Linked DNA regions of Lytechinus pictus. The protein of the gene in region 1 purifies or fractionates together with the protein of each later gene. This does not show direct contact. Links are inferred from orthologs where the notes say so. Each region holds a gene or a part of one and is shown on either strand. Other genes may lie near its edges.

Region 1 (16,757 bases):
ATATACCGATGGCGCATGCATAAAATAGACTTGGCCAAATTTGCGCATGCACCCCCCGGTATGCCTATATATTGATCGGCCAGTTTGGTGTACTATTTTGAAAGTGAATGAACGTACGCGGCCTTTTTCCCCTTTTGAGGGTCTGGCTCAGGGTGACCAGACGTCCCGAAAAATCCTTCCCGGGACGCCTATTTGTCCCGTATTTCAGAATATTGAACAAAATGTAGTTAATACATTTAATAGTAACAAATTTTCATCAACTAACCAACAGATGAAGAAGCAGAGACAACAATAAAATAAAATAACTAAACTTTTGCAAACGAACTGGCCTCCTGCCTGTGTGTGGCAAGCTATTCTCTAGGCATGTACATGTAGGATCGGAGCAGATTCTAATTGGTGCAAACAATGACATGATAAACAGTTTTTCCACCCAAATAATCACAAGGTCAGCGGAAAATTTGTATAATTATATTATGGATTCTCAGATTACTTATTTGGAGATATAATCGGAGGAACAAGTTGAGTTTTCATAACTAGATCTAGTTGTTTCAGCTTTCGTTTTGAGTCTTAATATGATGCCGCGATTTTTCATCTAATTTTTAAGTTGACAAGGTTTCACTTTGAAATTTTATTCATTTCTAAAACATTTTAATTATTTAAAATTTTAAAAATATATTTAAAACACACCAAATATCATTATGATTTGGGTTAGATGATTGGATTGTTTTTGTTGCTTGAAATTTGAACTTTTTTCCTCTTTCTTTCTTTTTTTTATCCTTCTTTCTTCATCCTTCTATCCTTCCTGCTTGCCCTTTTTTGTTCCAATATCTATCTTTATTTCCTATATTTCCTGATCCTTTCTCTCTGTGGTCATTTTTCTTCCTTTCCTTCTTTCTTTTACCTGCCTTCTTTATTAAATTTTCTTTTTTTATTTCCTTCCCTTATAAAACTTTTCTTTGCTTCTTTCTCCCTTCCTCTCCTTTTTCTTTTCGTTCTTTCTCTCCTTCCATTATTATTATTTTTTTTTCATTCTCTCCTCTCTTCATTCGTTCCTCCCTTTCTTTCCTCCTTTCTTTCTTTCTTTCTTTCATTCTTTATTTTATTTTTCCTTCTAATTCTTTTCCCTTAACCTTTCCCTTCCTCCACTCCTTTCTGTTTTTCTTTCAAAGAATGAAGGAAATATTTTTCTTTCCTTCATTCTTTCTTTCCTCCTTTTTACTTACTTTTTTTTCTTTCTCTCCTTTATTTTGTCTTTCACACATTTATTCATCTTCCCTTCCTTTCTTTTTCATTCTTTTTATATTCAATTTAAAGAATGACAGAAACCTTTTTTCTCTTAATTTCATCCTTCTTTTATTCTTTTTATCTTTTCTTCATTTTCCCCTTCATTTTTTCTTTCTTTCTTCTCAATTCGAATTCATCTCTTTTCTTTCTCTCCTTCATTCTTTTGTTCACCATCCCTTAAAGTCCCTTCCAATTCTTTATATTTTTTTCACAAGTCTATTAACACTGTGTATCCTTCTTTTATGTTGATCTTTTTGGTCAATTGATTGTACCGTTGCCCGGGCGTTGGCCCTATATCATTATACAAATAATGCATGCAGCCGAGTGCGTTAGTGGAAATGCAGAGCACGCGAGGTTTCTTTAGATAGGTGCCGCACTGTGCACGAGCCGCTGGCGGCGAGTGCCCAGCGTGCACCATCTGAAGAAACCGAGCTTTCTCTGCATTTACTTTTACGCACGACAGAGCAAGTGCATTATTTGTTTTATAAAATAGCAACACAGAAACAAATTCTTGAAAAGTTACAGTACAGTTTTGTTGGACTTCTCCCGGGACTTCTACCGCACTGGTTTGCTTGAGCGTGCAATGTCAATTTTCGTTGCGCACCTGCACCTTTTGCACGACCGTGCAGTGCACCAAAAAAGTTGGGTGTCATGTGACGCGTATTGGCCAATCGCGATGCTTGAAATAATACACCTATTTTATAATTTGTAATATCTGGTCACCCTGCCCCTGGCCTGGTCGGTGGTCTGGCAACTGCCTCGAGCTCGATGATGTCAGGATTCTGCTGTCTATTAAACTTTCATAGATAAAATTGAGGTGCGTGCAGGATTTCTTTTTTTTCTTTAAATTTGGGTGTTTTTTTGTACCCAACCCCCAACCTTGAAGGTATCCATGTAATGTTAGTAAATGCATCTGTCGTCAGGCTCCAGCCCGCGAAGCGGTCCGGAGCTCTCTGGGTTACGCCGCCGCCAGTGCCGGCTGGCTGAAGTGGGTGCGCCGCGCTCACATGCATCGCGGCGGTCAAATTTGCTCAGCCAAGCTCATCGCATGAACCACATTTGTCTGAGGCTAGAATCTGAAGTTTATATTTACCGAACGGTACTCAAACTTGTTAGATCTTGAATTCTCGCTGTCTCTCTGGTAAACCAGTTCGAAAAGTCCAGGCAGCAGGAAAAATTGAACAAGGTTTTAGCTGTTTATTCTTCTCAACAATCTGCTGACTCCGCTCTGCCACTCTGCTCTATGAATACTGGAAATACGTGTGTCCCACATAATGTAAGTTCGTGTAGGGTACTGGGTATAGATATAGATGGGCGTAATGATGGAGGGCCCCAAGTCTGCGCACCTAACAATTTAAGTTAAGATTTAACATGAATTTCTTCATATTTCACAAAATCTTTCAGTTAATAATGTTCCTTATATTATCAAGAGTAAGTGTACCAAATTTCTCATTAAAAAAATGAAAGAAAATATAGGATTTTCTTGAAAAAACCTCGGGCAGTCATTTTCAGATTGAAAAAAAAAATGGTACCCCATGTCTGCGCACTCATTCACTCTGCACACGATTCAGGGATTTTGATGAGAAAGGCTGCATTTTGAGGTCGTAACATTAAGTGCCCTAAATTCATTATTTTACCACCATTTTGAGTTGGATTTTTTTATCAATACCTGTCTATGCATTGCATGTGTAAAGTTCGTACTCGTTGCATATCTTCTTTTAGTTTTACTTTAATTTTTTTAATTTAATCGCGCAGATACGCACAGACTTGGGGGAACTTGCCATACAAAGGAATTTTAACAATAAAGATGATATTGATAATATAAATAACAATAGTTGCTACTTATAAAGCACACAAGTACACCTCTCAGTGTTAATAGCGCTTCAAGAAAGTAAAAATACTATTACTAGGGCCCAGACAGCTGGCAGCTGTCTGTTTCGAGGAATTTTTTCACATTTTTTTTCTCATTAAAAAAAGATGGATTTCAGCCGTCTTACTACTGGTACTTTGTAATGAATTACATTTTCTCAAGCTCAAAGTGACTTTTGCATTCAAATTTTATACTGTAAAACACATTTTCATTTATCCTTTACAATCATAACTGTTTGTGTGAAGGGTATGAATTGATAATGTGTTTTACAACTATAAATTTGGTACTGCAAAATCGTAAAATAGCCTTAATTAAAAACGGACATACAAAGCTTTTCGACATGCACTCATTGGAGTAAAATCGCATGATAAACGGCTCGCCATTTAGCGTCCCTTGTCTGGTTACGTTTCTATTATATATTGTTTTGCTCTAGCATTTTAATCATTCATGCGATTTTTATACTCCGATGAGTGCAGGTTGGAAAGCTTCAGTATGTCAGTTTTTAAGGCTATTTTACAACTATGAATTTAACCCAGGCAGATTGAAACCTGTCTTTAGCTTTGGTAAAAGGTCATTAGTGTGAATTGAGTTTCAAGTGTGTCATGTCTATTCTTCCAATCTTAAAAACTTGTAGTAGCCATCTGATCTCTTTTTAAACGCCAATTCTCTCTGTTTCGAGGAGTTTTGTTTTACATTTTTATGTATTTCTCCTCGTACACAGACGGCTCGCGATCGTGCAGCCGCCATTAGGGGCAAAATGTAAAAAATCACCCGACGGGGCTCATCGATTTTTGTCTTAATTATGTCATAAAAATATATTAAAAGAACTAGACCAAAATAAAGATTATTATTCCGTTTTGGCCTGAAATGCACCAAAACGGGAAAAAATCAACTTAAAAGGACAAAAAACAGTGACTTAGTTCGGCTGTCGCGCAACTCCACTTCCCTGGTTTATCCGAACTGAATACATAAACATATGGCCATCAAGTCCCTGTACAGATCGAGTTTAGAACTTCGGTCTTTGTAATTGTTGAGCGGAGCCAACAGAGTTCAGCGGAACAACCAATATAACGGACCGAAGCTTTTTGTCTAGCCCAGTCCATGCTTTGGAATAGGTTTTATATCACATGGAAAAACCACATAGATATTTTGTTTTTATTCGGCAACTGATCAAAATAAATTGTTCATGTAAAATCACACAATTTATAATAACTCGGGAGTCGACCGTTCAAAACGAGGGAGACACTGGGGTAGATTGGGGTCTCAATAGTAATCTTAATCTTAATAAAATGTGGAAACAGAAATTATACACTTACCACGATTATATGGATGAAGGTCTATCGTGACACACAAATCCTGACATTGAGGCACAGACTGGAACCTCAAAAAATGAAAAGTTCTGCTGCGATACCTCTCCTTCTTTCAAAATTCAAAACAAAATGGCCGATCGAGACCGAGGCTATATTTTGGTCGAATGGCCACTTGGGTTAATCATCACTTGATCTAATTTTCATTTCACCTAATGTGTTTTATTGCCACTTGGTACAATTGCATTTTTTATAGTCTAATACCAGTTTGTCTCATTATCGGTTAGTTTAATAATACGAGTTGGTCTAACACCAGTTCGTCTAATTATTGGATAATCTACTAATAAAGGTCTATAACGAGTTCGTCTAATTATCGGTTAGTCTAATAATAAGAGTTGGTCTAAACCAGTTTGTCTAATTATCGGTTTTAGTCTAATAATACGATTGGTCTACTACCAGTTCATCTAATTATCGGTTAGTCTAATAATACGAGTTGGTCTAAAGTTCTGCTTTTTCGTCTCATCCCACTAGTCTATTATTCATTTTGTCTATATTGCATTTTTGTTTTGATGTGCAGTTCAAGTCTAATTGCCAATGTGTCTAAATATCAATTTGTCTCATTTCCACTTGGGCTAATGGCCCGGGGGGCCACTTACATTGGCGAGTGGATACCATGCATGACCAAAAAAACACGTAAAAAGGATGTCTTTTTCAAGATAGGGCACGTTACGTACGTAACGTAATAAAGGGTGTCAAAAACACTAAAATAATGAAAAAAGGGTATCTATTTTCGCTAGGAAAGCTACGTGTTTAGGGTCAAATTTGCGAGGGTGTAAAAAATTAAGACTAAAATGTTTTATAAAGGATGTACTTTTTGCCCCAAGAGTCAACACTTCGTGTTTAGAGTATGATTTTGCGCGAGATGTGGGAGGTGCAGGGGCTGTACTAAACCCAATCAGGTAAAACCGACGACAGTGCACATAACAATAAAAATATCGTTGTACTTGTTTAGGGGGTCAATTCAGGGAATACTTGCCAAGAGTATTGTATACTTGTTAAGGGTAGGGTTTCACACACACCAATACTTGTTAAGGGGTGTATTTTCAGAACATGGAAAATACGTGTTTAGGGTGCTTTTCGAGACCCCATGGTCGTGCATGGTATCCACTCGTCAATGGAAGTGGCCCCCCGGGGCTAATGGCCTGTTGGGGGTACCCCCTTTCACCTATAGTTAGGCCTTCACCTACCTATAGTTTATTTGTGTGTTTCTTTCTCATGGTTGACCATGAACACTGAATGAATTCATTTTTGCATCGCATGTTGTCTGCTTTAGGCTTTATGTTATACATTTTCTGTAATGTTATTGTAAATTAGAAATTAGAGGGGATTGGGGAAGGAATAGAAATATACCTACCGGTACTCGTATAATTAATCAGAATGAGAAGGCAAGATGAATGACTACTAACAAAAATTACAAAATTATTCAAAACAAAATTAGATGATCTAATGGCTTTATAATTTTTAGAAACCCACAATACTACACAAACTATTTTTTTGTATGCCTACTTTTCTTCAAGTTCAAGTATCATCTGTAATGGTGCATAACAATAATCATATAAAGGCCTTAACACGTTTACCAGATACGTATCCACACGATACATTACATTATGAAATCTTCATTCTTTTCTTCATAGTAAGCCTGAGTCATATCGATTATTTTGAAAACCGGTGTTCGACAGCTTTAATTCGATCGAACATCGATGCATCAAAATTTGAAGGCGGAGAAAATCGAGTCTTTTTTTTGCTCCGGCCGGCCGTCGATGCATGCGCTATGCATGCACTACATGCACTGACGGTCTGCGCTGTCCGGGTGAGCGTTGCAAAAGCAAATGACAGAGCAAAGTTCGTTTGTATTTTCCATGATCACAAAACGCAAAAAAGGCCGGGGAGCAATGCAGAATTCTTCCCAAAATATCTTCAACAATGATATTTGCAGATGATAACATATAAGTTTAAAATGAAACAATATTAAGGACAATGTTCGATAATCAATCCTGACGTGATAATTATTTTTTTAGACAAGTGCACTCACTCAAGTCGATCGTCATGTGATGTCCGCCATTGAAAATTGAAACGAAATACAAACGTTTCACATCAAGCTCTAAATTCATATTAATGATTATCATTTGCAAATTATTGTTGAATATTACGATTAAATCATGTTCTATCGTCATGATATTAATATTGTTCATGAAAAGCAAGATTTACTTTACGTTGATCAAATCAATTTTCCGGCCATTTTCTGATTTGATTAAAGCACAGTACTGCGCATGCAGGATGAATGGTGACTTCCATTCATAAATTCATCGTGCATAAATTATCTCGGCACGAGCAGACGAGTAAGACTCGAACTATGATCGAAATAAACTTTAAATTAATGGTGAATAGGCATCATAATTACACAATTGGTTTCATTTTGGGGGCAATATAAATGAAGTAAGTAGTAGTCAAGTTGGATTTTACTGTTTATTTTGATGTCTGATTGTGTGAACCAAATGAATCGGCCGGCCGACGTATTTTTTGTCTCGCCTGCATAGCAGAGCGAGACTATAGGCGCCGCTTTTCCGACGGCGGCGGCGGCGTCAACATCAAATCTTAACCTAAGGTTAAGTTTTTGAAATGACATCATAACTTAGAAAGTATATGGACCTAGTTCATGAAACTTGGACATAGGTTAATCAAGTATTACTGAACATCCTGCCTGAGTTTCAGGTCACATGACTAAGGTCAAAGGTCATTTAGGGTCAATGAACTTAGACCATGTTGGGAGAATTATTTTCAAAATCTTAACCGAAGGTTAAGTTTTTGAAATGACATCATAACTTAGAAGTATATGGACCTAGTTCATGAAACTTAGGCATAAGGTTAATCAAGTATTAGTGAAGATCCTGCTCGAGTTTCAGGTCACATGACCAAGGTCAAAGGTCATTTAGGGTCAATGAACTTTGGTCAAGTTGGGGGTATTTGTTGAATTACTATCATAACTTTGAAAATTTATGGATCTAGTTCATGAAACTTGGACATAAGGTTAATCAAGTATTAGTGAACATCCTTCCTGAGTTTCAGGTCACATGACCAAGGTCAAAGGTCATTTAGGGTCAATGAACGTTGGCCAAGTTGGGGGTATTTGTTGAATTACCTTCATAACTTTGAAAATTTATGGATCTAGTTCATGAAACTTGGACATTAGGTTAATCAAGTACCACTGAATATCCTGTGCGAGTTTCAGGTCACATTACCATGGTCAATGGTCATTTAAGGTCAATGAACTTTGGCCGTGTTGGGGGTATTTGTTAAATTACCATCCTAACTCTGAAGGTGTATGGATCTAGTTCATAAAACTTGATCATAAGAGTAATCGAGTATCACTGAACATCCTGTACGAGTTTCAGGTCAGATGACCATGGTCAAAGGTCATTTAAGGTCAATAATAATAATAATAATAGGCATTTATATAGCGCCATCTATCTAGAAATATTCTATTCCGAGGCGCACAAGAAAAGAAAGAAAGAAAGTTTGGATGAGTGTCAAAGTGCCAATAACTAATACTGTTAGAAAAGATAAGACTTCACTTTAGATTTGAAGGTCTCCAGTGATGGTATCATTCTTAAATATATAGGCAAATTATTCCAGAGAGAAGGTGCTGAGGCAGAGAAAGTTTGCGCACCATATGCAACTTTGGCCATGTTGGGGTAATTGTTGAATTGCCATCATAACTTTGAAAGTTTATGGATAGAGGGAATGAAATGTGGACATGGGTGTAATTGACAAGTCTTAAGTCACCGTTCAAATGTCATCTATGGTCAATGAATGTGGTATTATGTCATTATATGAATGGTGTTTTTGTAAATTATTATTTTATAATAGTTTTCAAAGTTAGCACTGCTGCTATATTTAATCGCGTAATGCAGGCGAGACTGCCAGAGGCGTTCCACTTTTTTTTTGTTTGTTCGATGCACCGATTTTGCAAAATCTGCACCGGCGTTCAATGACGTCGATCGAACATCGATTTTAAAATCGATTTGACTCAGGCTTAAGAAGTAAGAATCATGTAATTCTGATGAAACCCCTGCCATTCCGCCGTTATAAGCTGCTATCTCCCCAACATATTGTTCACACAAAAATAGAATCTATAGCACTTGATGATGATGATGATGATAAGGACGGTGATTGCTGTGATAATAATATTCCTATTCCTTCTACTACTACTGCTGCTGCTGCTGCTGCTGCTGCTGCTGCTGCTGCTGCTGCTACTACTACTAGTAGTACTACTACTACTACTACTACTAATACTGCTACTACTACTACTTTTACTAAGTACTACTACTACTACTACTACTATTACTACTACTACTATTACTACTACTACTACTAGTACTACTACTACTACTACTAATACTGCTACTACTTCTACTTTTACTACTACTCCTACTACTACTACTACTACTACTACTACTACTACTACTACTACAACTACTACTACTAGATCTACTGCTGTAGTACTTTAGTAGAACAATACTGTGTCTAGGCTTCATATTAATAACAATTACTACTACTAATAATGATAATATATGTCTTTATTCTTCTGATGAGTATTGTTATAATTTTCAGCATCACAGATATATATATCAGTATTACATATTATGAAAATCATACTTCATTATGATAAAGCATTGAGCAACTATCTTGCCATCAGTAGGACTGCATAGAGAGGTTTTGTGTGTATACCACCACCCTACCCCTCCTGATGGCAGGCATTGACTGCTGCATGTTATATTCAAGCAAGCCTCTAAAATAACAAAAGAAAAAGGGTGCTTTGTAGACAAGAATGAAGGTAGAGTCCTTTAAAATGCTAAAGAGGTCCTGACCAATGAAACCATGCTCTCCATAAATATAATTTGATGAGGTCAGGCAAACGTCTGAGATCCCTTCCCCGGCAGAACCTCACACTTCATAAATTCTTTCGTTCCAGTTTCAATCCGTGCATTTAATAGCCTTACTTGAAATTTAATTACCCCCCCCTTCCTGCCTTTATCTTAATTTCTCTTATCTTTGCTTGTTGATTTGTATAATGTTTACTATATGTATCGTGTAATCTTTTGTGTGTATCATGTGATATTCTAAATTATTTTGTGCGAACAAATTGAATTTCCATTTGTACACGATCGCAATTGGACAATAAAAATATCTGAATCTGAATTCATTTATCCATGACCATATATGAGACTAAATGGACATTAAACCAAACAGTCATTCAACCATATGTCAATAAGACTAAATGATAAGTAGCCTACACTGTAACTGGTTATTAGACCAAATGGCAATTAGACTATAAAGTGATAAGAACATCATGGTTCGGTTTCATAAAGACTTGTTATGATCATGCACAATTTCTATAACAAATTTACCATCAGCCAATCAGATTGGAGAATTTCAGTAGCTTGAAACTGTTATTGCAAATTTGTTATTATTTATGAAACGGATCCCATATGATATTAGCCAAATTGGGTGTAGCCCAAATGAATACTAGACCAAGTGGCATGTAGACAAAGTCAATGTTACACTATCTGGAAATTAGACGAAGTGGAAATTAGCCGAAGTGGAATTTAGACCAAGTGGTGTTAGACCAACTGGGAATTAGATCAAATAATAGCCCATCTGGTCATTAGACGAATTAGGTTTTGGACTAAGTTGAAATTAGACGAAATAGACAACAGAAAAATTGGTTGTACATGTAGACGTAATGGCTTTTGAACATGTGACGTTGGACGAACGAGAATTTATTAGACCAAGTGGTAGTAAAACAACTGATAATTCATCAAATGGATGTATGTACTGTAGAGGGCTAGAGGCAATATACAGAAAAGCAAAAATATATATATTGCAGAAAGATTGAGAGATTGTTTAAGAGAGGAAAAGATGCAACCATGAAATGATTATCACTTCCTGCTGGGTAATATCTAATCTTCATGTTGCCCTTTTTTATGCTTGATCCTCAAGTCGCAAACAACCTTTCCACAGCTGTAAGCTTTGCCTTGTATCATCTCCAGTCATTTCCTCGGCTAAAGCCGTGTAACATCCTTTTCTGTTTTAATGAGGCTCCACAATAGCCTCATTATCGTTGAGATTAGATATCAAATCTTCTTCCATCAGTCAGTTTGGTGGATCCTCCCTTGTACTAGTTACACATTAACTATCTTAGCTTTTGTCATAGTGCACAAGCTGGTATCAACTCATAGAGCCGGCTGATGAGCGAGCGAGCAAGTGGATGAGTCGAGGATCTTTCCCAGTGTCTGTGTTGATCTTTGCTCATGTGTTGTATGTGTTCATTTAGTTGTGTTGCAGCTACTTCTTCTGTACAAGGAATTTATCATTCAAGGACTTTACAAGCAAGTTTGCTTTCATGTATGTACATGTACAGTATGTGGGATTATCATTTTCCTTTTGTTGTCTTTCACACTGCAAAGGTGCAAGAGAAAAACATTTGGTGTGTGCTTAAGTGCTTAACAAAGCTATTTGATATAGTACATGGAAATAATCGTGGACTTCAGACATGAATGTTTGTTTGCCATTTTTAAATGCTTTTTAGGAGGATTACTCATTCATGAATGGTAATACAGTCGCATGTAGAATTGAAAAAAACCCACATAATTTTTTTTGGGGGGCAAATTATGCTGTGAAAGACTAATTAAAATGTCTAGAGGTATGATCATTTTCTTTTTACAGAACAATGGATGAATGAATGATATTTCCATTATCTGTGGTTCTTGTAACAAGTGTGAATATTTTTTTCTTGTTTATTTTAAACATCTAATATGCTTTTCACACTGCACTTTTTGTCCTAAATTGGTGGGGCTAAGGGGGGGTCTTAGCCCCACCAATTTCCCGGGGTTAAGCTTAGCCCACTTCGTTTTCACACTACGTTTTAGCAAAGTGGGCTAGCACGGTAAATAGTACGGTACTATCTGGCCCTGCAAAAAAGCAGGTTTAGCCGGCATATTGCGGTGCTAGCACCACAATTGCGGTGCTAAGAGATGCAGTGTGAATCGAAACCGGGCTAAGGAAAAGTGGGGCTAAGCATTAGCCAATCACAGAAGTCGAAATTGCACGTTAATCGCGCTCTGTATGGTAAAATCATCAATATTAATGAGCTGTGTGATTGCCCGGGGTTAAGGTGTTAACCCCGGCTAAGCAAATAGTATGGGGTTAAGAAAGACAGTGTGAATCGAAAAAAAGATAGTATGGGGTTAAGGATAGTCCGGGGTTAAGGATAGTATGGGGTTAAGGAAATGCAGTGTGAAAAGCATATTAGCATTGAATGTGCTGAAGATTTCAGGATGTAATCTTTGTCAGAATCCATTTTATATGTAAAGGAAATGCTAAAACCGCTATTTTTGTCTCACCTGCATAGCAGAGTGAGACTATAGGCGCCGCTTTTCCGACGGCGACGGCGGCGGCGGCGGCGGCGGCGACGGCGGCGACGGCGGCGTCAACACCAAATCTTAACCTGAGGTTAAGTTTTTGAAATGACAGCATAACTTAGAAAGTATATGGACCTAGTTCATGAAACTTGGCCATAAGGTTAATCAAGTATTACTGAACATCCTGCCTGAGTTTCATGTCACATGACCAAGGTCAAAGGTCATTTAGGGTCAATGAACTTAGACCATGTTGGGGGAATCAACATCAAAATCTTAACCTAAGGTTAAGTTTTTGAAATGTCATCATAACTTAGAAAATATATGGACCTAGTTCATGAAACTTATACATAAGGTTAATCAAGTATCACTGAACATCCTGCATGAGTTTCACATCACATGACCAAGGTCAAAGGTCATTTAGGGTCAATGAACTTTGGCCGAATTGGGGGTATCTGTTGAATTACCATCATAACTTTGAAAGTTTATGGATCTGATTCATGAAACTTGGACATAATAGTAATCAAGTATTACTGAACATCCTGTGCAAGTTTCAGGTCACATGATCAAGGTCAAAGGTCATTTAGGGTCAATGAACTTTGGCCAAATTTGGGTATTTGTTGAATTACAGCCATAAATTTGAAAGTGTGTTGGTCTAGTTCATAAAACTTGGACATAATAGTAATCAAGTATCACTGAACATCCTGTGCGAGTTTCAGGTCACATGATCAAGGTCAAAGGTCATGTAAGGTCAAAGAACTTTGGCCACGTTGGGGGTATTTGTTGAATTGCCATCATATCTCTATAAGTGTATTGGTCTAGTTCATAAAACGTGGAAATAAGAGTAACCAAGTATCACTGAACATCTTGTGCGAGTTATAGTAGTTTTCAAAATCAGCACTGCTGCTATATTGAATCGCGTGATGCAGGTGAGACGGCCAGAGGCATTCCACTTGTTAGTAATAATAAACATTATCGAGAGAAGGCACTTGACTCAAATTTAATTTGTAATGGCAAGGATAATTAAATTCTAATGGATAAAAATGCATTCAATTACTGGTAGGCATGTATGATATTGTAATGTTAGAATATACTCAAGTGTAGCCCACATTGACCCCTTTTCAAAGCTAAAGGCGGGTTTTAAAGAGTGTCTGTATTGCAATACATTGGTTTTTAATAAACATTGGCCTGAGCACATCAGAGGTCCGAAGAATCCAGTACGAACTTGCTGTTTAGTACATGTATGTCCATTTGACAGATTTTTCTCTCAGTTCATTTTACATAAACTTTTACAAAGTTATGTAAGCAGCTTGTTTTGAATTGATCATGTGATACACATGCATGTACATGTAGCTGGGATCCTATGGTGCATGACAATATATACAATGCACAGATTGAGATAGGTATGCATTGTAATATTGACAATTTGACTTTGTTGTAGTGTATTAAAGCATTAATGTTATTGTATATTAATCACCAATTACTGTCTCTATCTCTCTCTTGCTTCTCTCCTTTTATCTCTTAATATTACAGGTATGCAGAGGTTCAGCCATTGTAGTTTATACACACTGTATGAAAGAAACAGGAAGTGGTATACTGATGGTCGTCATTAGCAGAACTGTGATGTTTTTTAGAGAATTTTCCATGCATTGACTCATGTTATTAAATGTGCAGTGTTGTGTTTTTGGTGTGAATTTATGGAGGAAGGCAGTCGATAAAGGAAGATCGATTCCCTTTCCTGGTGCTTAGCGTGAACACCTTGGCAGAATGGCCGCTGCCATTGATGATGTCATAATGGACAAGGAGTACTCGGAACCAGATGAGGACCAAAATGAGGACCAAAATGAAGACCAAAATGGAGACTATGAAAGTGAGGACCAAGACCTGAATGGCTTAGACAGCGAAATAGACCTGATGAACGTTGGAAGCAACAATTCGGGACAAAGCGACAGTTTACAATCAAGGAATACCCTAAAAAATGATAACCTGGCTCAGTTTGGTATCCCACAATGCTCTTGGACGGTACATCTCAATCATAAATACAAAGAAAAATGGCGGCCATTGATGAGGGTCAGAGCACACCAGATGAAGAGCTTTGTTCTTCCGTCGGTCAGGTAATCAAGGATTTAATTTTTTTTTAAAACTCTTTAATTCACTCATTTTTAGTCTTAAAGTCAATCCAAAATACCAAGAGTTTCAACCCTTTCACTATAAGACTTGAGTCAATCAAAGTATGAAGGATTCAATCTTTTCACCCCTGAATTTAAAAAATAATGAAAATGATAAATCAGATGAAAAAAATCAGTACATGAAAATGAAAATCTTGAAAATTGTCCATGTTTGTTTTGAGAGTATTATCCCCTGCAAAAAAAGGAGCAAATTAGTGAGCTGATGATGAATTAGCTCATTTTTTTTCTAAAATGGGAAGTTCACCTTGATGATATGTTGGTTTTAATAAAAAATATTGGTGCGGGTTTGATGACATGATCCATCAAAAATATTAAGAAAGTTATGAACGTTCAAAAGTAAAAGTTTTTAAAGCTAGCAGCTCCCCCATCTATATCGTGTATTTTGATTTCCTGTTGTTTTAAATGGAACTTGATGAATAAAAATGTTTCTAATAGAAGGGGGTATGAATGATATGTTTAAGGATACATTATGTATATTTGAAAAGTGATATGAATTGATTTTACCTCTTTAATATTCGCTTCCAAAGGACTTCGATATTACATGTATAACCCTGGCGGCCGTAATTACTTACATCGCACACCCTTTTTCAAAGAATTGATTGCTACCAGGTACCCATATACGTCACCTGGGTCGAGTGCATCATAATGTGGATAAATTTCTTGCTGAAAGAAACTACACCATGGATGAGATTTGAACCCAAGACCCTCTGTTTCAAAGTTCGGATACTAATCCTCTGGGCCACAACGGTCCACCTGCAATGATTGATTATAGTTGAACGGCATTTCCTCATCCCTTTTACAATAATGGACGTTGATTCTGTTTTGATACTTCAGATATGCCCAACTACACCTTAAAATGCGGCGAGCAGGAAAAAGACCATTCATTGATGTGTTACATCCAAAGAAATTTAAACCGGTATATGGTAAGTGGGGTCTGGGGGTGGGGGTCAAGGTTGGTGCTATGTCAGTCATTGATAGGGTTCTCCCAATTTAGAAGAAAAGAATAATTAGTCAAGTTTGGCGCTATGTCAGTCATTGATAGGGTCTCCTAATGTTGAAGAAAAGAATAAGGAGTCAAGTTTGGCGCTATATCAGTCATTGATAGGGGTCTCCCAATGTAGAAGAAAAGAATAAGGATTCAAGTTTGGTGCTATGTAAGTCATTGATAGGGGCCTCCTAAGATAGAAGAAAAGAATAAGGATTCAAGTTTGGTGCTATGTCAGTCAATGATAGGGGTCTCCTAATGTAGAAAAAAAGAATAAGGAGTCAAGTTTGGCACTATGTCAGTCATTGAAAGGGGTCTCCCAACGTAGAAGAAAAGAATAAGGATTCAAGTTTGGTGCTATGACAGTCATCGATAGGAGCCTCCTTATGTAGAAGAAAAGAATAAGGGGTCAAGTTTGGCACTATGTCAGTCATTGATAGGGGTCTCCCAACGTAGAAGAAAGGAATAAGGATTCAAGTTTGGTGCTATGACAGTCATTGATAGGAGCCTCCTTATGTAGAAGAAAAGAATAAGGGGTCAAGTTTGGTGCTATGTCAGTCATTGATATGAGCCTCCTTATGTAGAAGAAAAGAATAAGGGGTCAAGTTTGGTGCTATGTCAGTCATTGATAGGGGCCTCTTCATTGCTCTGTCAGTGCATAAATTAAAATTGCTAGCGTTAATTAAGGCTCATTGTCCAGAATTTATATTAAACAATACCTAAACCTGTTCAATGTGTGTAAGTTGAGATATGTGTGTGTCACTAATTTTTTTTCTTTGTTATAAAAAAACTGAATTTGTTTTTCTTATATGATCATGTTTATCCCAACCCCACACTGCTAATTACTTATGTTTAAGAATACAATTTATGTTCAGAGGGGCTTTCTACCAAACCCACGTCTGCTTTTTAATAAGTTGCCCATTTTAATTTTCATATTTTCAAAATTATAATCGGTAAATTGTTAAATTATCAATATGTGTATTTAAACAACGATTCATTTATTTCCTGTTTCTTTTTCTTATTAATGATTGAAATATTTCTTATGACATTTTTCCAGTTTTCTAAGTTCACATATGTTTGTTGTTATGTTCAATATTTGAAAATGGAAAAAAAAAAATTGAAAACTTTAATGTTTGACCCTTTTTATACATATTTGCTTGGAGTTTCTTGCTCAGACATGTACAATATATGCTTTAAGCGCATTATAGACAACCAGATTATTATTATTTTTCTCATTATTTGTACAGAATTTGGTGGATCCACAATATGGTGAGCCATCTATCGGTTGCAGCGAACAGACCAAATTTCTAACTGTGGGGGTTACATCATGCGCAGTCGCAGGCAGCGCACAGTGCTAGTGCTTCAAAAATGAAAACCATTTGGCAAGAATTCACCAAAAAAGGTCTAAATTTCACAGAGAAATATGCAGGCAAATTTTTCTCCTACCTCCTGGACCCTAGTAAATAGCATATCCGGTCGAGCCGCGTCGGCCAGTGCTGAATAATCGCATGCTTTCACTTTAGTACTAGAATGCGTAACAGATGTCGACTTTTTCCCATGATGCATTGCTAATTTTAGCCTGTCAGCTGCAACCAATAGATGGCGCACCGTATTGTGAATCCACCGAATTGAGGAACAATCTTT
Region 2 (17,185 bases), on another chromosome or scaffold:
CTTTCACTCTGTAAGAGAACTCATCCTTCTCTCTATCCCAGAAGACTCCTAGCACCTTCTCCTCTGCTAGACTTTCCATCATAGTTTTCTCCATTTCGTTTGCCTCTGGACCTTTTAGCTGTATGTTGGAAGTCCAGCCTTTCACCTTAAACCCACCATCAGCAAGAATCATGTCAATGTCCTTGGTTAAGGCTTTAGCTTGCTCTATCGTATCTGTAGATGTGCAGATGTCATCCATGTATGTATCTCTTTTCAATACATCTGCAGCCTCTGGAGACTGAGCACGGCCTTCTTCTGCAGTGAGTCTCAGTGCTGTCTGCGCCATTGCTGGAGCCGGCTTATCTCCAAACGTCACGACTTGCATCACATACGTATCAGGCTTTCTGTTCACTTGCAAATCTCTCCATAAAAACCTGTGTACGTGCTGATCAGACTCGGGTATCAGCACCCTGTGGTACATTTTTGAGATATCTGCACAAACTGCTACTGACCTCTCCCGGAAACGTAGGATGACTCCAAACAAGTTATTTAATAGGTCAGGGCCTTTCATCCAGAAGTCGTTGAGACACTTGCCAGCATACACTGAAGAGGAATTGAAGACAATTCTTATCGGTGTGCTCTTCTTTTCCGGTCGCAACACTGCATGATGAGGAATATAATGCACAGGGCCCTCATACGACTCCATTTCCTCATTTGTCATTTTCCTTGCGAAACCCATCTGTACCATTTCTTTGATTTGATTATCATAGGCTTTGGCATGCTCGGCATCCTTCAGCAACCTTTTCTCTGTAGCACAGAGCATTTTTTCCACCAGTACCTTGTTGTCTGGCAGTTCCTTTGGGTTTCTCTGCCATGGATATGGAACCAGCCACTGTCGTCCTTTCTTCTGACAAGCCTTGATGATAAACTTCTGTTCATCTACCTCTTTATCTGGACAGGCCACTCCCATAGACTCTGTCGTCCAAAAATCCTGCAGATCAATTGGATTCCTGATTACTTGTACATTGAGTACGTTTCCACCCTTCTGGCCTGGTTTACCACCAAACACCACCCAGCCTAGTGGCGTTCGCTTAGCAACTAGATGTCCTCTCTCTCTTGGCTTTCCATTCCCAAGATGAAGTTTTGCATAGTCGGCACCGATGAGTAGATCAATTGGTCCAGAACCTCTGTAGAGTTTGTCAAGATGGAAAATCCTTGCTAACTCTCTAACATTAACACCTGTGATGTTATCGTTGATGACATCTAGTCCGATAGCTTGTACCACAATGACTTTATGGGTATCCAAAGACTCAAGCTTAACCCGATATAACTTGGAATCAGCAGTCTCTCTGTCTCCGCCAACTTTTGTGATCACGACTTGGATTGGATCACCCTCTAGATTAAGCGTCTTTGCAATCTCCGTCCTGATGAGTGTCACTTGAGACCCAGAGTCCAACAAACAGTTACCAATGACCGCTCCCTTCGTACCTCGAACCTTGACTGACAGTATTGGTAAGAGTGTATCTCTTGATCCGATACTTGCCACGTCCACTGTAGACTCCCTTTTTTCTATTGTTGAATGCAGCAAAGGATGATGATATGAGGGGCATTGGTCGCACTTCCTTCTTCGTCTACATGTGGTCATGCGGTGTTCCTTGCTGGCCCGCTTCAGACAGCTAAAGCACGCTCTGTTCGCCTTCATCAAGTCGTACCTTTCTGGTTGGCTCATTCTGATAATCATTTGACACTTATCAATCCAGTGATCATTGGATTTACAGTGCCAACACTTAAAGTCCTGCTTACGAACCACATCATTGCCTTGGTCTTGGTTCATAACTTGGTGTATGGATGCACCTTGCTTATTCTTGTTATCTGATCTTCCTTCTCGAATGGATGCAGTCGCCCGAATGCGAGTCTGTAGTTCCTCGCTCATCCAGTCCATCAAGCCCTTTAACGTGGGTGACCTCTGCAGACGTAACCAAATCTTACGATCTTCATTTGTAAGCTTCCGTTCTATCAACGCCAACATATGAGAATTGTTCATATCCTCTTCCTTATTTATCTGTTTCAGAGTGTTGTAACTCCTCCTAACTAATCCGGCAAACTCGATGAACCTTGCATCCTCACCGTCCTTCAAGTTCTTGAACTTTGTGATATCAGATATGATAGCATCGGCTAGATTCCTCGGATCACCGTACATGATATCAAGTTGCTCCCATGCTGCTTGATAGTCGGTTCCTATCCCTTGAATTATTTCCAGTGGTTTCCCTTGCAGGCTAGTACGCATAATTGTTATGCAATCCCTTTCGGCATATCTGGTTTCAATGAGATGCTTGAAGTCGGACTTAAAAGTTTGATATTCTCTAATATCTCCTGAAAACCTGGGTAACTTAGGTTTTTCAACCTGCACCTTACATTGAGTTGCATTTCTTACTCCTCCAGAGCTGATATTTCCAATGCTATTGTTTTCGAGGTAGTCACAAACCTTTGCTTTCACTTGCATGAAGTTATTCATGCAATCTTCTATCCATGCCTGCTCTGATTCATATGCCGAATCATCAAGAAGCTCACAGTATACGTCATGCTTCTCTTCCAGATCTTTGTAGCATTTCTGACATTCCTGAAAACCCTCATCAACCTCTTTGCTGGATCTTTCACTGTCCATCAGGGCCTGAACTTGATTCAAAGTCCTTGTGAACTTCCCCTTTGCCGACCTCCGCTTCACCTTCAGTTCGCCTGCTCTTTCAGCCATCTTGTCCTTCTTGTACTATTCCCGGAGTATGCGAAGAAATTGAATTTATGGATAGTACAGAACAAGCCGAGATGTGAACCATGGAATTGAGATATTTCTACAGTGTTGATTTGTAGATTTTATTCAATCTGAAATGATAAAACAAAACAGCATATTTTGAGTCATCTCATCCTGAATTAAAACATGCACTTAAATATGAATATCTTGTGTAACCTGGTCTTGATGCATTTACATTTGTCCATCAAAGTATTACTAAATATTCTGACCAAGATTGACTTTCATTGTTTATAGTAAAAGCATGGATTAAGATTAATATAAACCAACTGAAAGTCTGAATGTAGCAGACAATATTATTTTCTATCAAAATCACTCCTTATATAAAAGGCATAAAAAATCAATGCCCAATTTTGGCAGGGCGCCAACAACGCATAGTTGAGTCCAACTATGCCGAAACAAATCCCTAATAGCTTTTAAAACTGGTTTTCTCTAAATTAAATGCACATGCAATTATTCATGAACCAAAACTAGTTTTGCCAGAAACTTATTTCTACCTCTTCAAAATACACTTCATGAATTCACCAAATGTTCATGTATCAGACTCATGAACATGTTTTTGTATCCTTTTGTATAGATCTATATTTATGCACTTTCACCTCACAATGAGCAACTTGTCTTAAGCATAGATATGCTTTAAAATACAATATAATCTTTGTAATATGAAAATAACCCACATATTTTGCCTCTTCATTCTCACTAAAAAAAGAAGTCTTGTATTTTCATGCTTTTGCTTAGATTATGAATCCAAACTGAACTAAACTTCCTGGAAATGTTTATATTCACATTTTCCAACATAACCAGTTGCTTCCAAAAAACTAAACAAAGCTTTCAACTGAAGCTTTTCATTAATTAAATATTCAGATTTTAGACATCTTAAAACTTTTACTTTATAACACAAATTTCCGTCATGTGCATTAAAGACAATTGTGATTAGATTTCACACGAGCCTTTTGAGCCAAAAAATTGTCTTCTAACTTCAACCTCTTTTCACGTGTACATTTATAATGAATTTTTACTTGTTTTTCGTCAATAACTCTCTTTGAGTTTCTTGTCATAATTATATAATCAACACGTTATCTCCCCTATTATCTGATTAATCTACGAAACTTACTTCTATGACGGGACACAAATGAACATTGCTGAAATTCGGACATAAAAGGTGACGAACTGCAGCACCTCCGTTAACTCATGAACGTGAAAAATCTGATGCTGAAGATAGCGCACTGCTGTAAATTGACGTGTTGACAAATTTGATATGGTATCTTTGAGATAGATCATTAAAGCAAACGTTATAATAATTATATGGCGTTTAATCCAAAACAAATCACTTTTTTCCAAAGTTTAATCTTCTCTATAATTTAGCCTTTCTGAAGGATTAAATTTTCTCATATATTCAGCTTCTTACCAAAACAATTTTCCAGGGCTCTTTTTCCACTTTCCAGGGCTACAATTTCTGGAGCTATTTCGCGGCTTTTTTGCGTTTGTGTGTGTGTGTCTGTGTGTGTGTGTGTATATATATACACGGTAGCTAGCATATACGGTGTAATCATACGCGTGTACTGTACATGCGATCGCGACGAAGCTTCGAAGCAGCGCGGCGCGAGCTAGCGAGAAGTACGTACCGGTACCATCTCGAATTCATAGGCACATGTACCACATGCACTATTCACGCCCGTAAACAGAGATTCACAGGTAAGTTCTCTTAGCTGACACGATCCTATGATGGACTCGCGTGCGCTGAAATGAGCAATGTTATTGTGCCACTGTATCTTGTATTTGCTTGTGTGACTCTGCGGGCAGCTCCGCGGTGATTTACGTACATATATACGTGATGTTCGCAACTGCAGTCGGGCAATGAGTTTGGGATTTTGTAGCACAATTGGTGTGCGCGTAGGAAACAGCTCAAGATTGTAATATAAGCGGTCACACGCAAATGCAAACAAGTACACATTTAAATGCAATATAACGTATAATGTATAATTTAAATGCAATCACGTACGTATGCATGAAATGCTACATAAATATACAGTGTTGACGGGGGCGATTATGAGTTTTGCAGTCGCCCTCGTGTGAATGTTTTTAGCCCTTTTCCGGGGCTCTTTTTGGACTTTCCGGGGCAAATTCGCCCGCCGCCCCCGTGTAATTTTTTGGTTGGAGATATCTATATTTGATGAAATGTCCACCCTTTGAAATTTCAGAGTTTATTGCTCTGCGCGGGGAAGAATATCTTCCTCCCGGCATATACACTTCTTCTCCTCTGTTTGGCGAGTTAAAGATATATGCACTGTCGCTAAATTGTTTGTATTCAAATCTGATCTTTCCAAGGGAAGTATTCAATATATCTTTGAGAATACCCTTTTCTCGGGACCCTTTTCATGGCAAAAAAATTGATAAAACGGTTTAGCTTCCGCGCTTCGCGCGGGGTTATGATTTTAATTTCCTCCATTGTATTCCTTTTTGTGCGTTCACAATCACTTTTGAAAACAAGGTTCAAAATCACAATATAGTCAATTGAATTGGAGCTGATATAGGTACTAGAGTCAAGAGAGACGGCTCCTTTTCATTTTAATTTATGAAACACCAAAAGCTTCGCGCTTCGCACGGGAGGGGGAAAGTCCCCCTCCCTGCACCCACCCCCTAGGGAGCGCGCTTTGCGCTCTGTATTAAAGTGTTGGCACGCTTTGCGTGCATTTACCGCCCCCTCCAAAATGAAATCCTGGCTACGCGGTTGGAGAAAGAGTTAATTTTTTCATGGATTATGATGGAAAATTTGCTTGCTAATATTTTATATTAACTAAATAATCGAAATTCCCTAAAATTTTCAGGGCTAATCCAAAATGATAATATCATTTGATCCTGAAAAAAATCATATCAAACAATTAAAGCTTTAATTTCTCATTAACTTTCATTTTCTTTGTCTCCAAAATATGCCCTCGAACCTTTTCCAGACATATCTCTACCCCGCATTGAATATTCATGAAACTCGCTGTGCATATTCATGAATATGTACGGGTTTGCATGCTAAGTTTTTGCTGTGCCGAAGACTTATTTTTCGAGAAATCACTTTATGAAAAGGGGTTCTGACACAAAATAACAAGGAGTTATGAAACCAGCGAACCCAATTCCCGCACGCCAGAGGTGGGCCCTATAACACAAGACGTTAGAATTGATCGTATTGCTAATCATGTAAAATAACCGGTGCAATTAGCTATGGGACTCAGCCCTGCATGCAATCAATTATGGTATAGTACGTCCGGGTCTAAGTGTTTACATGCATTTGAACCGTACTAACCGAGCTGAATGAAAGTACAAGGTAGGCATAGAAATGTCCTTTTTTTTTCTCTTTAACGTATGATTTTGCTTAAAGGGATGGTCCGGGCTGAAAATGTTTATAGCTTAATAAATGGAGTAGAATTCACTGAGCAAAATGCCGAAAATTTCATCAGAATCGGATAACAAATTTATAACAAAGTTATTGACTATTAACGTTTAGCAATATTTTGTGAAAACAGTCATGAATATTCATTAGGTGGGCTGATGATGTCACATCTCCACTTGTTCTTTTGTATTTTATTATATATGAAATTAGGATTATTCAAATTATTTCCTCCAAGAACTAGAAAAATTGGATTGACATCTGATTTATTGCATTAGATATTTATTGCTGCAACTTATTTTATTATAAGGGAGACATGTTATTCACACAAGTATGAAATAATGAAAAAATTATGATTTTATGTGAAAACAGACAGTGGGGATGTGTGACATCATTAGCCCACCTAATGAATATATTCATGACGACTGTTTTCACAAAATATTGCTAAACTTTATACTTCAATAACTTTATTATTTGTTATCCGATTTTGATGAAATTTTCGGCATTTTGCTCAGTGAATTTTACTCTATGTATAAAGATATAAATATAATTGCCCGAAGGTCAGTAAGGTGTTACGGTCCACTTGCAGAGATAGATTCAAGGAATCAAATCTTACTGGGTACCCATTCACCTCACCTAGGTCGAGTGCAGCACAGTGTGGATGAATTTCTTGCTGAAGGAAAACACGCCATGGCTAGGATTCGAACCCACAACCCTCTGTTTGAAAGGCGAGAGTCAGAACCACTAGATCATGACGTGCCCACTAGCTTTATTACAGTATAAAGTGAAAGCAACATATTTGTAAAATAAATTATTTAAAATATTTAAAGATTATTAAGTTTACATCTGGCTCTACATGTGTGTGCATGCAAATTATTCACAGCGATTAGTGGCCGAGATCTGAGGGGGGGGGGGGGTGGCAAATTGATAATCTTGAAAATGTGATTACATGTGCAACCATCCTGATTGACATTTGCTGCCTGAGACTGTTCAAACCAATTTTTTTCAAGCAAAATACATAAGTGGCAAGAAAACGAATAAATTTGCATTTTTCTGTCTGTTCTGCTTAAAACTGGTTGTAATTTGTTAATTTTACCTTTCGATATGGTTATACCTGTAGGGTCTGTAAAATTCAGGAAGTCACAGGACATGGTGATTTTATTTGATGTCATTGTGAACTTCCCCTTTAATCAATCTGTGATCACTTTAGACTTTGAACTGTTTAATTATCCCAGGTCAGATTGTTTTGTTTCATACATGTACCTTGTATACATGTCAAATGCTTTGTTTTTAAATAAAACAAGACCTGAAGTTTCTGAGACAAATTTTTTCCGACTCTGGCAGCCATTTTTTATTTCAAAATGGCTGCCAAAGTATGGATACAAATTAGTGTTGAAAATAGTATATTGATACATATTTTGTTTTGACAGATTTTTAAAGAACAAGTTTGATCATGTTGTTTTCGCCTGTGATTTAGCTTGCTATTATAACACTTTTTAAAATCCCACAGAAAGAAACACCAGTAATTCATTCATCTGATAAAAAAACATTGATGAAGTATGTGATATGGTATGTAATGTCAGTTACCGAAAACATGAACTTGTTTTTCTAATTTCCTGGAAAAGAGGATATACATGTATTATATGAAACTTGGTAGATTTCCTCTCTAGGTAACACCCCTCCCTTCTACACCAAAATTAAAGATTACTAATTAACAATGAAGCCATAGGGTACCATTAAATATATGTAATGTCAGTTACCATGATAAAACGTTGGTTACCAATATTGAAATGCAAATATGTGGTCAATTTTATGGTGAAGAAATATTGTATACTTGTTATTTAAGTCTTTTACTTTAAAAGTCACACCAGAAGAGCTTGTTATTGACTTTTAAAAGGTATACAGGTGTAGTTCACAAGGAATAGCCTACTATATGAAATTATGAAGGAAGTTGCATTCCCATCGTGCAAAAAAAATTACTATGAAATTGTTTTGTACATATGCACTTACCAAGTACCTAATTGTTTGTATCAGACAATTTTTTGTTTGGTTTTCGGGGGGGGGGGGGGGGTGGTAGAGGGTACTTTTCCCAACCTATTGCCTAAATCTGCAACATTCTTTAAGCTTAACATTGTGATGAAGGGGATTTCCAGGGTCCCTTTTTGTCTCACCTGCATAGCAGAGTGAGACTATAGGCGCCGCTTTTCCGACGGCGACGGCGGCGGCGGCATCAACACCAAATCTTAACCTGAGGTTAAGTTTTTGAAATGACAGCATAACTTAGAAAGTATATGGACCTAGTTCATGAAACTTGGCCATAAGGTTAATCAAGTATTACTGAACATCCTGCCTGAGTTTCATGTCACATGACCAAGGTCAAAGGTCATTTAGGGTCAATGAACTTAGACCATGTTGGGGGAATCAACATCAAAATCTTAACCTAAGGTTAAGTTTTTGAAATGTCATCATAACTTAGAAAATGTATGGACCTAGTTCATGGAACTTATACATAAGGTTAATCAAGTATCACTGAACATCCTGCATGAGTTTCACATCACATGACCAAGGTCAAAGGTCATTTAGGGTCAATGAACTTTGGCCGAATTGGGGGTATCTGTTGAATTACCATCATAACTTTGAAAGTTTATGGATCTGATTCATGAAACTTGGACATAATAGTAATCAAGTATTACTAAACATCCTGTGCAAGTTTCAGGTCACATGATCAAGGTCAAAGGTCATTTAGGGTCAATGAACTTTGGCCAAATTGGGGTATTTGTTGAATTACAGCCATAAATTTGAAAGTGTGTTGGTCTAGTTCATAAAACTTGGACATAATAGTAATCAAGTATCACTGAACATCCTGTGCGAGTTTCAGGTCACATGATCAAGGTCAAAGGTCATGTAAGGTCAAAGAACTTTGGCCACGTTGGGGGTATTTGTTGAATCGCCATCATATCTCTATAAGTGTATTGGTCTAGTTCATAAAACGTGGAAATAAGAGTAACCAAGTATCACTGAACATCTTGTGCGAGTTATAGTAGTTTTCAAAATCAGCACTGCTGCTATATTGAATCGTGTAATGCAGGTGAGACGGCCAGAGGCATTCCACTTGTTTACTTTCTAGGATTCTTTTGAGCATTGCCTCGCTAAAAGTAATTTCCTGGTTTTTATACAGGTCTGTTAGTAGTGTGATACTATTTTGTTTTGGGTTTACAAGTATAGATGAAAAGTGAAATTTGACAGTTGTGATCGATGTTGCATGGATCTACTAAAACTGTTTTTTTTTTCTAATTTACAAATAGTTCAGTTTCAGTTTAGAAGCTGGAATTTATTTTTTGTTGACAGCTTAAAAAAGAAATTAGCAAAGAAAATGATTAAACAAATTATGATGAGAATTGAAATCCGACAGATATGAACAAGCATTGCTTGCACTGACCAGAATAGAAATCAATAAAACTACATGGCTGCATTAGATTCGGGGGAGGGGTTCGTGTAGCCTAGGGGATGAGACCCTTATTCATTTTGCCTTTTTTGAGGGGAGGGGGAGGTTGGAGAAGGAAAAGGTTTAAAAAGTCAATATAAAACTGATGAATATATTATGGGTGTATAGTCAGAAAAATCCATGTGTACAGTCAATGCAATATTAAATTACTATAGGAAAACATGTAGCTGCTATGACCCCCCCCCCCCCGAGTAAGTAAAACATACATTTCTTATCTTTTGATAATTAAAAATGTGAAGTATTATGAAACTTTTATGATTTTAAAAAGCCTTACATATAAGTACCTACTAAGAAAATTATGCCTTTGAAAATCATATAGCACTGGTAAATGTTAATGTGTTTTGTCAGTTACCTACAAGTAATGATAAAAATGTTCAAACCAAAGAAAGGAATTAAGAAAAAGAAAGAGTTTTTTCATTGAAATGTTCCTAGAAACTTGGGTATACTTCCACATCAAGCTCACTTTCATGTGAAGCCCTGCACAGAAGATACAATGCAATGATTCCACACATTTGACTTCCATGTGTTATCTCTATGGCAAATTCAGTGTAATGTCAGTCACTGTAATGTCAGTTACCAGCATGGTTGTGGAAAAATTATCATAGCCCCCAAAAGACAAAAACGAATTGTTTAATATTTTGACACATCTTAACCTAGTAACAGAGGTATATTTAGCCTACATATTCAAATTATCTACTCAGGGACATGAGATGCCTCAATTTTAATGAACACCCTGAAATTGCATGTCCTTTTGCGTAATGTCAGTTACCGACACATTTTTGCTTGCTGATGCGTAAAAAAATGTGGTTACATAGGAAAACTTAGTATCAGAGTATACAGCAAGGTTCACTTTATTAACTCTATCAAAAGCAAACTCCCATCATTTGTTGTTTTTAGAGATACACACCATGAAAGGTGTGAAAACATTGTGCCGTGTAATGTCAGTTACCGTGAAAATGCCCAAATGGTATTACAACATGGTACATGTAGTAGTATGAATATTGTAAACTTTTAGCAATGAAGTGTGGATATCACATTTTTTTTTGCATGAATTAAGAATTCTAAGGGGCACGGACATTTCTTAAATGAAAGGGAAGGTGGTGCTCACTTTAGGTACTTCAGTCCAAGGCCATTAAAAAAGGGCATCAATTAAAAGGGCATCAATTAAAAGGGCATCAATTAAAAGGGCATTAATTAAAAGGGCACTTATTTTGGCCTAAATGTAAGTCTACAAATATTTGGATAGGCATCAAGGCTATTTTGAGGGCAATGGCGGCCATAACCTTGTATGGCCTTCAAAGATTACTTTGCGTGCTTGTAAATGGTGGCCTTCATGTGTAGTGTAAGTGTTCAAATATTCAAGTGTTCAAGTATAAGTGTAATTATTCAAATATTTGCAAAAATGCTTTGGGCAAAGGACACTATTAAATATTTTTTAAATTTTTGTTTATCCTCATTAGATTGATTTTTAAACTGTTCAAGTTTGATGAGGATAGAAGGACCAAAAACGAAGATTTACTTTAAATACATTTCTCTTGCAATATAACCTAAAACCCTGTAAGGACCGGGGGGCATGATGGTCCCCCGTGCTTTATTTCGGAAGTGCGAAAGATAATGCCGCGAAATGTTTCTTTGAAGTCTCGTGCAATTTTTAAGACCACATTCAAGCTGTACGGGTATAGCATCGCGACGTCATGTGACTTATTAAAGAGACAGCATGCCGAAAATGGCTCATTTGTGTGCAAAGTCTATTAAAGGGAGATGAAATGAAAAGGGTGACTATATTTCATTCTAATTGGTCTGCTTAATTAATTTAGGGTTTACTTTAGTTGTTAAAGGGTCTGTAATAATTTCCATTCGTTTGGAAAAAAATCAGGGTAAGATAAAATTTGGATTCTAGAAAAATAAAAGTATATTTCTTTTGGCATTTGGCTTTTTAGATGAGTGTGAGTAAGATAGTAGTTGCTTGACTCAAGGTAGTGATTTCATGTATTTTGACATTTTAACTTGCAGGTGGATAAGACAAGCAAGCGTACAGGAGGAGAGTTAGTGGCTGAGACACTGAAGGCTCATGGAGTCAAGTTTCTTTTCACGCTTTGTGGTGGTCACATATCGCCTGTCAATGTTTCTGCTGAGAAACTTGGTATAAGGGTTATAGACACTAGACATGAGGTAAGTCTATTTATGATAATAAAACTTCTTCAAATTGTTCATTCTTATTATTTGTAACAACAAAAAGAGGACAACAAAAATATGTATGAAAAATAATTAATAAGCCTCCTTACAATTAAATATTTTAGACCATCAGCTCAAAACCTAGCAGTCACAAATCCTGAATGACATTTTTATCAACAGTGGGTCTCAACACAAGATTACCATAATACTCAAGTAATTCACAGAAAATGATATGCACTGTATTTATAAGCTAAAAAACCCCCAACAAAAAAGGAAACCCGTTTTTGTCTCACCTGCATAGCAGAGTGAGACTATAGGCGCCGCTTTTCCGACGGCGACGGCGGCGGCGTCAACACCAAATCTTAACGTAAGGTTAAGTTTTTTAAATGACAGCATAACTTAGAAAGTATATGGACCTAGTTCATGAAACTTGGAGATAAGGTTAATCAAGTATCACTGAACATCCTGCATGAGTTTCACGTCACATGACCAAAGTCAAAGGTCATTTAGGGTCAATGAACTTTGGCCAATTTGGGGTTATCTGTTGAATTACCATCATAACTTTGAAAGTTAATGGAACTGATTCATGAAACTTAAACATAATAGTAATCAAGTATAAGTGAACATCCTGTGCAAGTTTCAGGTCACATGATCAAGGTCAAAGGTCATTTAGGGTCAATGAACTTTGGCCAAATTGGGGGTATTTGTTGAATTACCATCATAACTTTGAAAGTATGTTGGTCTAGTTCATAAAACTTGGACATAAGAGTAATCAAGTATCACTGAACATCCTGTGCGCATTTTAGGTCACATGACAAAGGTCAATGAACTTTGGCCATAATGGGGGTATCTGTTGAATTACCATCATAACTTTGAAAGTTTATGGCTCTGACTCGTGAAACTTGGACATAAGAGTAATCAAGTATCACTGAACATCCGAACATCCTGTGCGAGTTTCAGGTCACATGATCAAGGTCAAAGGTCATGTAAGGTCAATGAACTTTGGCCACGTTGGGGATATTTGTTGAATTACCATCATATCTATGTAAGTGTATTGGTCTAGTTCATAAAACTTGGAAATAAGAGTAACCAAGTATCACTGAACATCTTGTGCGAGTTATAGTAGTTTTCAAAGTCAGCACTGCTGCTATATTGAATCGCGTGATGCAGGTGAGACCGCCAGAGGCATTCCACTTGTTAGAGATAGATTTCACAATTATTAAATACATGTATGCTTTTACTATAAATTTTATACTCTTGGCAAGATTGGAATCTCATCTCTAATTTGAAAACAACAGCTTAGCAAATTGTTCAAGCATGGCTGATATAAACAATAAATATTGAGACATATCAGAAGCGATTTGTGTAGAAACTCATGTGTGAATTTGAATCCACTCTCTTTTCAGGGATTAGTTAGAGAATCTTAACAAAGAATACAAAAGAAATGCTAATGAGCCAATCGTTGAATAATCACGATCGTCGTATCACAAACCAATCTTGTCAAATTTTTGTGCGCAACCTGGTTTTGACGTTAAAATTTCAAACTCATCTTGCTCATTAATGCGTGAAGTGTTCGTCTCAAATTAGGTATCAAAATAAAGAGAAATGATTGAATTATAAGATTAAATGTAAATGATATCATAATTCATTTGCCTGTGAAGAATAAAAACATGGGAATCTCAGTTTCCTTTTTTCTGGGACGCACTGTATATGGATAACTTTGTAGTGCTCTTCTAATACTACCTGTATGATTAGGCGACGGCAGTGTTTGCAGCTGATGCTGTAGCTAGACTATCTGGGGTAATTGGAGCTGCTATTGTTACGGCAGGACCAGGTCTTACTAATACTATCACAGCAGTCAAGAATGCACAGATGGCAGAATCCCCTCTTCTCTTAATGGGAGGAGCCGCAGGTACATTATTAAAGGTGAGTTATGGGTGAATTCATTCTTCTTAGGAGGGGTGAATGCTATCAAAAAAATAAATAAAGCTAGTGATAAATACGTCAAGAAATTATTCCAAAATTTGATGCTTGCACAAACCCTTTATTATTATATTTATTAACATTTATTAACAAGGTGGATATGTGCGCAATATAAATACCCTATATTATTATTATTATTATTATTTATTAATGAAGAAATATGTTACTTTTTCCAAAGTGGGTAATGTGAAAGATCATTTGCTCAGGGAGAGATGTATTCTTAATGATGTCAAGAGAAAATGATTTAACTGTACATAGCCATATGACATTGCATGAGACATCAAAATAATAAAACTATGATATTCACTGATTCTTTTATTTGATGGATGTGCTAAATCTTCATAGAACTTACTTGGCATCATGGCCAACTTCTTCTTTTGAATTAATGATAAAGAGCTCATTGATAAACCTACTGATCTAAAAAGAGATTTCAATATTATTTGCTCAAATTGGTTTTAGGTGATATCTTGACATTAGAAGCATTGAATACTGAGTATGGTTCAAAGGTTCTCATACAATCTGTGTTCTGTTTGTGTGAACAGATAGAGAATAGATTAAATACAATTGAGGATTTGATCTTTGAACTTTCAGTGTTGACCAAGACCAAGTGATCAATGTATCACCAGACTTATCTTGCAGTTCATGGTTTTCTGATGAATATAGTAGGAGTTATTATTTTGATTTTTTTTTTTTTTTTTTTGGGGGGGGTAATCTTTTTTTTTTTGGGGGGGTAATATGGATATTATACTGTATTACGCTTTCAGTACCAACACTAGCCTGTAATATAGGCCAGCAAATGCCCGTGTCCTTGTTTGTGCCATCATTACAGTCTTGAATAGCAGTTTAACATAACATTGAAATCATAGATTAAACTTAATCAAATATTTAAAGAACATTTTATTATTTGTATAAATTTGTTTTTGATCTTCAAATCAGCATCAATTTGGATGTTATACCCTCTTTCACAGTTTGAAAAAAAGTGTTATGAACAATAGCAAGACTTAATGAAATTAAAATTGGACTATTTTGCATGAGTTCGAGATCAATTGCTCTTAATCATTAAAATTAAAACATAATGATAAATTTATCACTTTTGGCTACATGTACATATTAAAAGATCTGTGCATAAAATCACGTTTTTGTGCTAGTTTGGGTCTGACATGCACTTGCAAAGTGTTTCGAAAATTGGAACCACGTATTCCCACGTTCGCGAATTTGGTCTTAAAACTTGCATGAGACTTGAAGGAAAGAGGTCTTGAAATATTGCAGTGTGAACTTTTCATGTTTCACATTTATCACAAAAATATGTTCAAGGAGTTGTTATGGTTTCATGAAGAAGCATTAATGCTCTCTTAATAATCAGGTATTAAAGTTACTTGGCTATGAGATGCCATTCATTCATGTATACATGACATCACAATTTACAAGTAAGGCTATACATTTCTATTTCAACATTGAATAGATTTTATGATAGTTTGGTGAGGTATTTTTATTTGAAGTATAGTTTATTTGCTCCTATGACATGCTGTATATTGTACTAATAATTTCTGTATACGCTATTTTTTCATTCATAGGGTCGTGGAGCACTCCAAGATATTGACCAAATGGCATTGTTCAAACCGCTATGCAAGATATGTATATCAATATCACAGATTAGAGATATCATACCAGCTATGAGAAGAGCAATACAGATAGCACAGTCTGGTACACCAGGTATGTTGGCACTCTGGTCTAAAGAATTGTCACAAACATCTTCATTTTATCAGCTCATGTGTCACTCAGATACTGGGAATAATAATTGAATTGGTTTTTTTTTTTGCTCTTGAAACATGAAAGAGCACTTTGAATGTAGGAAAAATTTGGCTTCCTGTGACCTACATGTAAGTTAAACTAGACTTCAGAATACAGGCCTTAACAGCTGTAGTCATATCCTTCAACTCCTCTATGTGATTTTGACGGAGCTGCAGCTAATATCTCTGCTATGAATGAATACTGTTATGCTAATGAAATTGATTGGTTTGATCCAGAGAGACTTCAATCAGCCGCTGCAGAGATCTCATCTTACTTTTAATAGTCAGGATTTTCTTATCTAAGATTTTATTGCATTTTTTAAAATAAAAAATATCACATAATCTTAGATCTTAGTCTTGCTGCATTAGACCTACATGTATGTATTGCCTCTGTAGGGGAAGGCGGGGTAAGTTGAGCTACTACCCCCAGGCCAATTTGAATTCAGACATTTTGATGGTGACATATTGATGACCCATTGCATAACATCTAACCCCACCACATTGTCTCTTCAACATTGAAACAGAAAATAGTTTTTCAGAGGGAAAAATATAAATTTCAGCCCAAAAAGTATGAATGTATCAAACAGATAAGTGCATTTTACCCACATTATTCATCTTTAAATATAATAAGGTAATGAGATGACAATATTGTTAGTCCAGGTACAGTCTTTTACATGATGAGTGAATATAAAGTAATATGTGGATGTGAAAATATCACATGAAGTTTTGACTGACGAGGGTAGGTTGAGCTAGCTAACATGGGGCAAATTGAGCCATGGTAATTCATATGGTAATAAAAACAAACACACCTTAAAAAGCAATCATATGCAGGCAGAAAGGAGAAAGTTCACAAGACAGAACTTGTTTTAGTATTTGTAGAGAACTGCCAAGTAAAAATACTTTTTAAATAAAAGTTATGCTGGTTTTTGCCCCATAGCCTTTTTACATATTTTTTTTTGTGGCTCAACTTACCCCATGGGTAGGGCAAGTTGAGCCATTTTACTTTTTTTTTCAAAGTGACGGTGCCTTTCAGTGTGGGGATAGAAAGTTACATATTGGTAAAAAAAATGTTTCCAAATAATGAAATTTTACGGCAAGGTACTTGTACAAGACTATTAGTCATATCGGTCCTAACATGCAAAAACACAAAATAATGGCTCAACTTACCCCGCCTTCCCCTACCATATTTAGTGTTTTAGCTAATGTTGTAAATCGGATCAAAAATCAGATCGAAAATCGGATCGGCAGTTAAGCTTCTAAAATCGAAATCGAATCGAAAATCGAATCGGCGATGTTTAAAAACAAAGGAATACATCAAAATATTGTTCGCGGTCGCGCGCATCTTCCTGACAAAGTCACAAAGACGAATGCATTGGAATGGAAGTCGCCAACATGCGCGATCGTTTGGAACATGTTTTAAAGCCAGGGGTTTTGAGGTGTTATTGCTTTAAAATAAACCGAGTGATTTTTATTAGAAAGATAAACGAAAGACGCATCTTCCGAGCGAAGGCGCAAAGGAAAATAAAATGAAAATATTTCTCATAGATCACAGGTTAATGAACGATCGG

Evidence for each region.
Region 2: the proteins of non-lysosomal glucosylceramidase-like (region 1) and 2-hydroxyacyl-CoA lyase 2-like purify together in Homo sapiens (co-immunoprecipitation; 3 studies listed by BioGRID and IntAct, counting the BioPlex papers as one, with this or other methods). This does not show direct contact. The link is inferred for Lytechinus pictus from reciprocal best matches to the Homo sapiens genes GBA2 and HACL2.

The regions. Positions count from the first base shown.
Region 1 is NC_087249.1:11,579,092-11,595,848, forward strand, and holds the start of non-lysosomal glucosylceramidase-like, read left to right. Parts: upstream 1-10,532; 5' UTR 10,533-10,926; intron 10,927-13,272; exon of another isoform or gene 13,273-13,342; intron 13,343-13,472; 5' UTR 13,473-13,706; coding exon 13,707-14,053; intron 14,054-14,962; coding exon 14,963-15,051; intron 15,052-16,757. UniProt on the Homo sapiens protein: Non-lysosomal glucosylceramidase that catalyzes the hydrolysis of glucosylceramides/GlcCers (such as beta-D-glucosyl-(1<->1')-N-acylsphing-4-enine) to free glucose and ceramides (such as N-acylsphing-4-enine).
Region 2 is NC_087250.1:659,066-676,250, reverse strand, and holds the start of 2-hydroxyacyl-CoA lyase 2-like, read left to right. Parts: upstream 1-10,625; coding exon 10,626-10,649; intron 10,650-11,682; coding exon 11,683-11,841; intron 11,842-13,599; coding exon 13,600-13,770; intron 13,771-15,401; coding exon 15,402-15,540; intron 15,541-17,185. Other genes in the region: uncharacterized protein LOC129282369, read right to left, coding at 1-2,731. UniProt on the Homo sapiens protein: Endoplasmic reticulum 2-OH acyl-CoA lyase involved in the cleavage (C1 removal) reaction in the fatty acid alpha-oxydation in a thiamine pyrophosphate (TPP)-dependent manner. Involved in the phytosphingosine degradation pathway.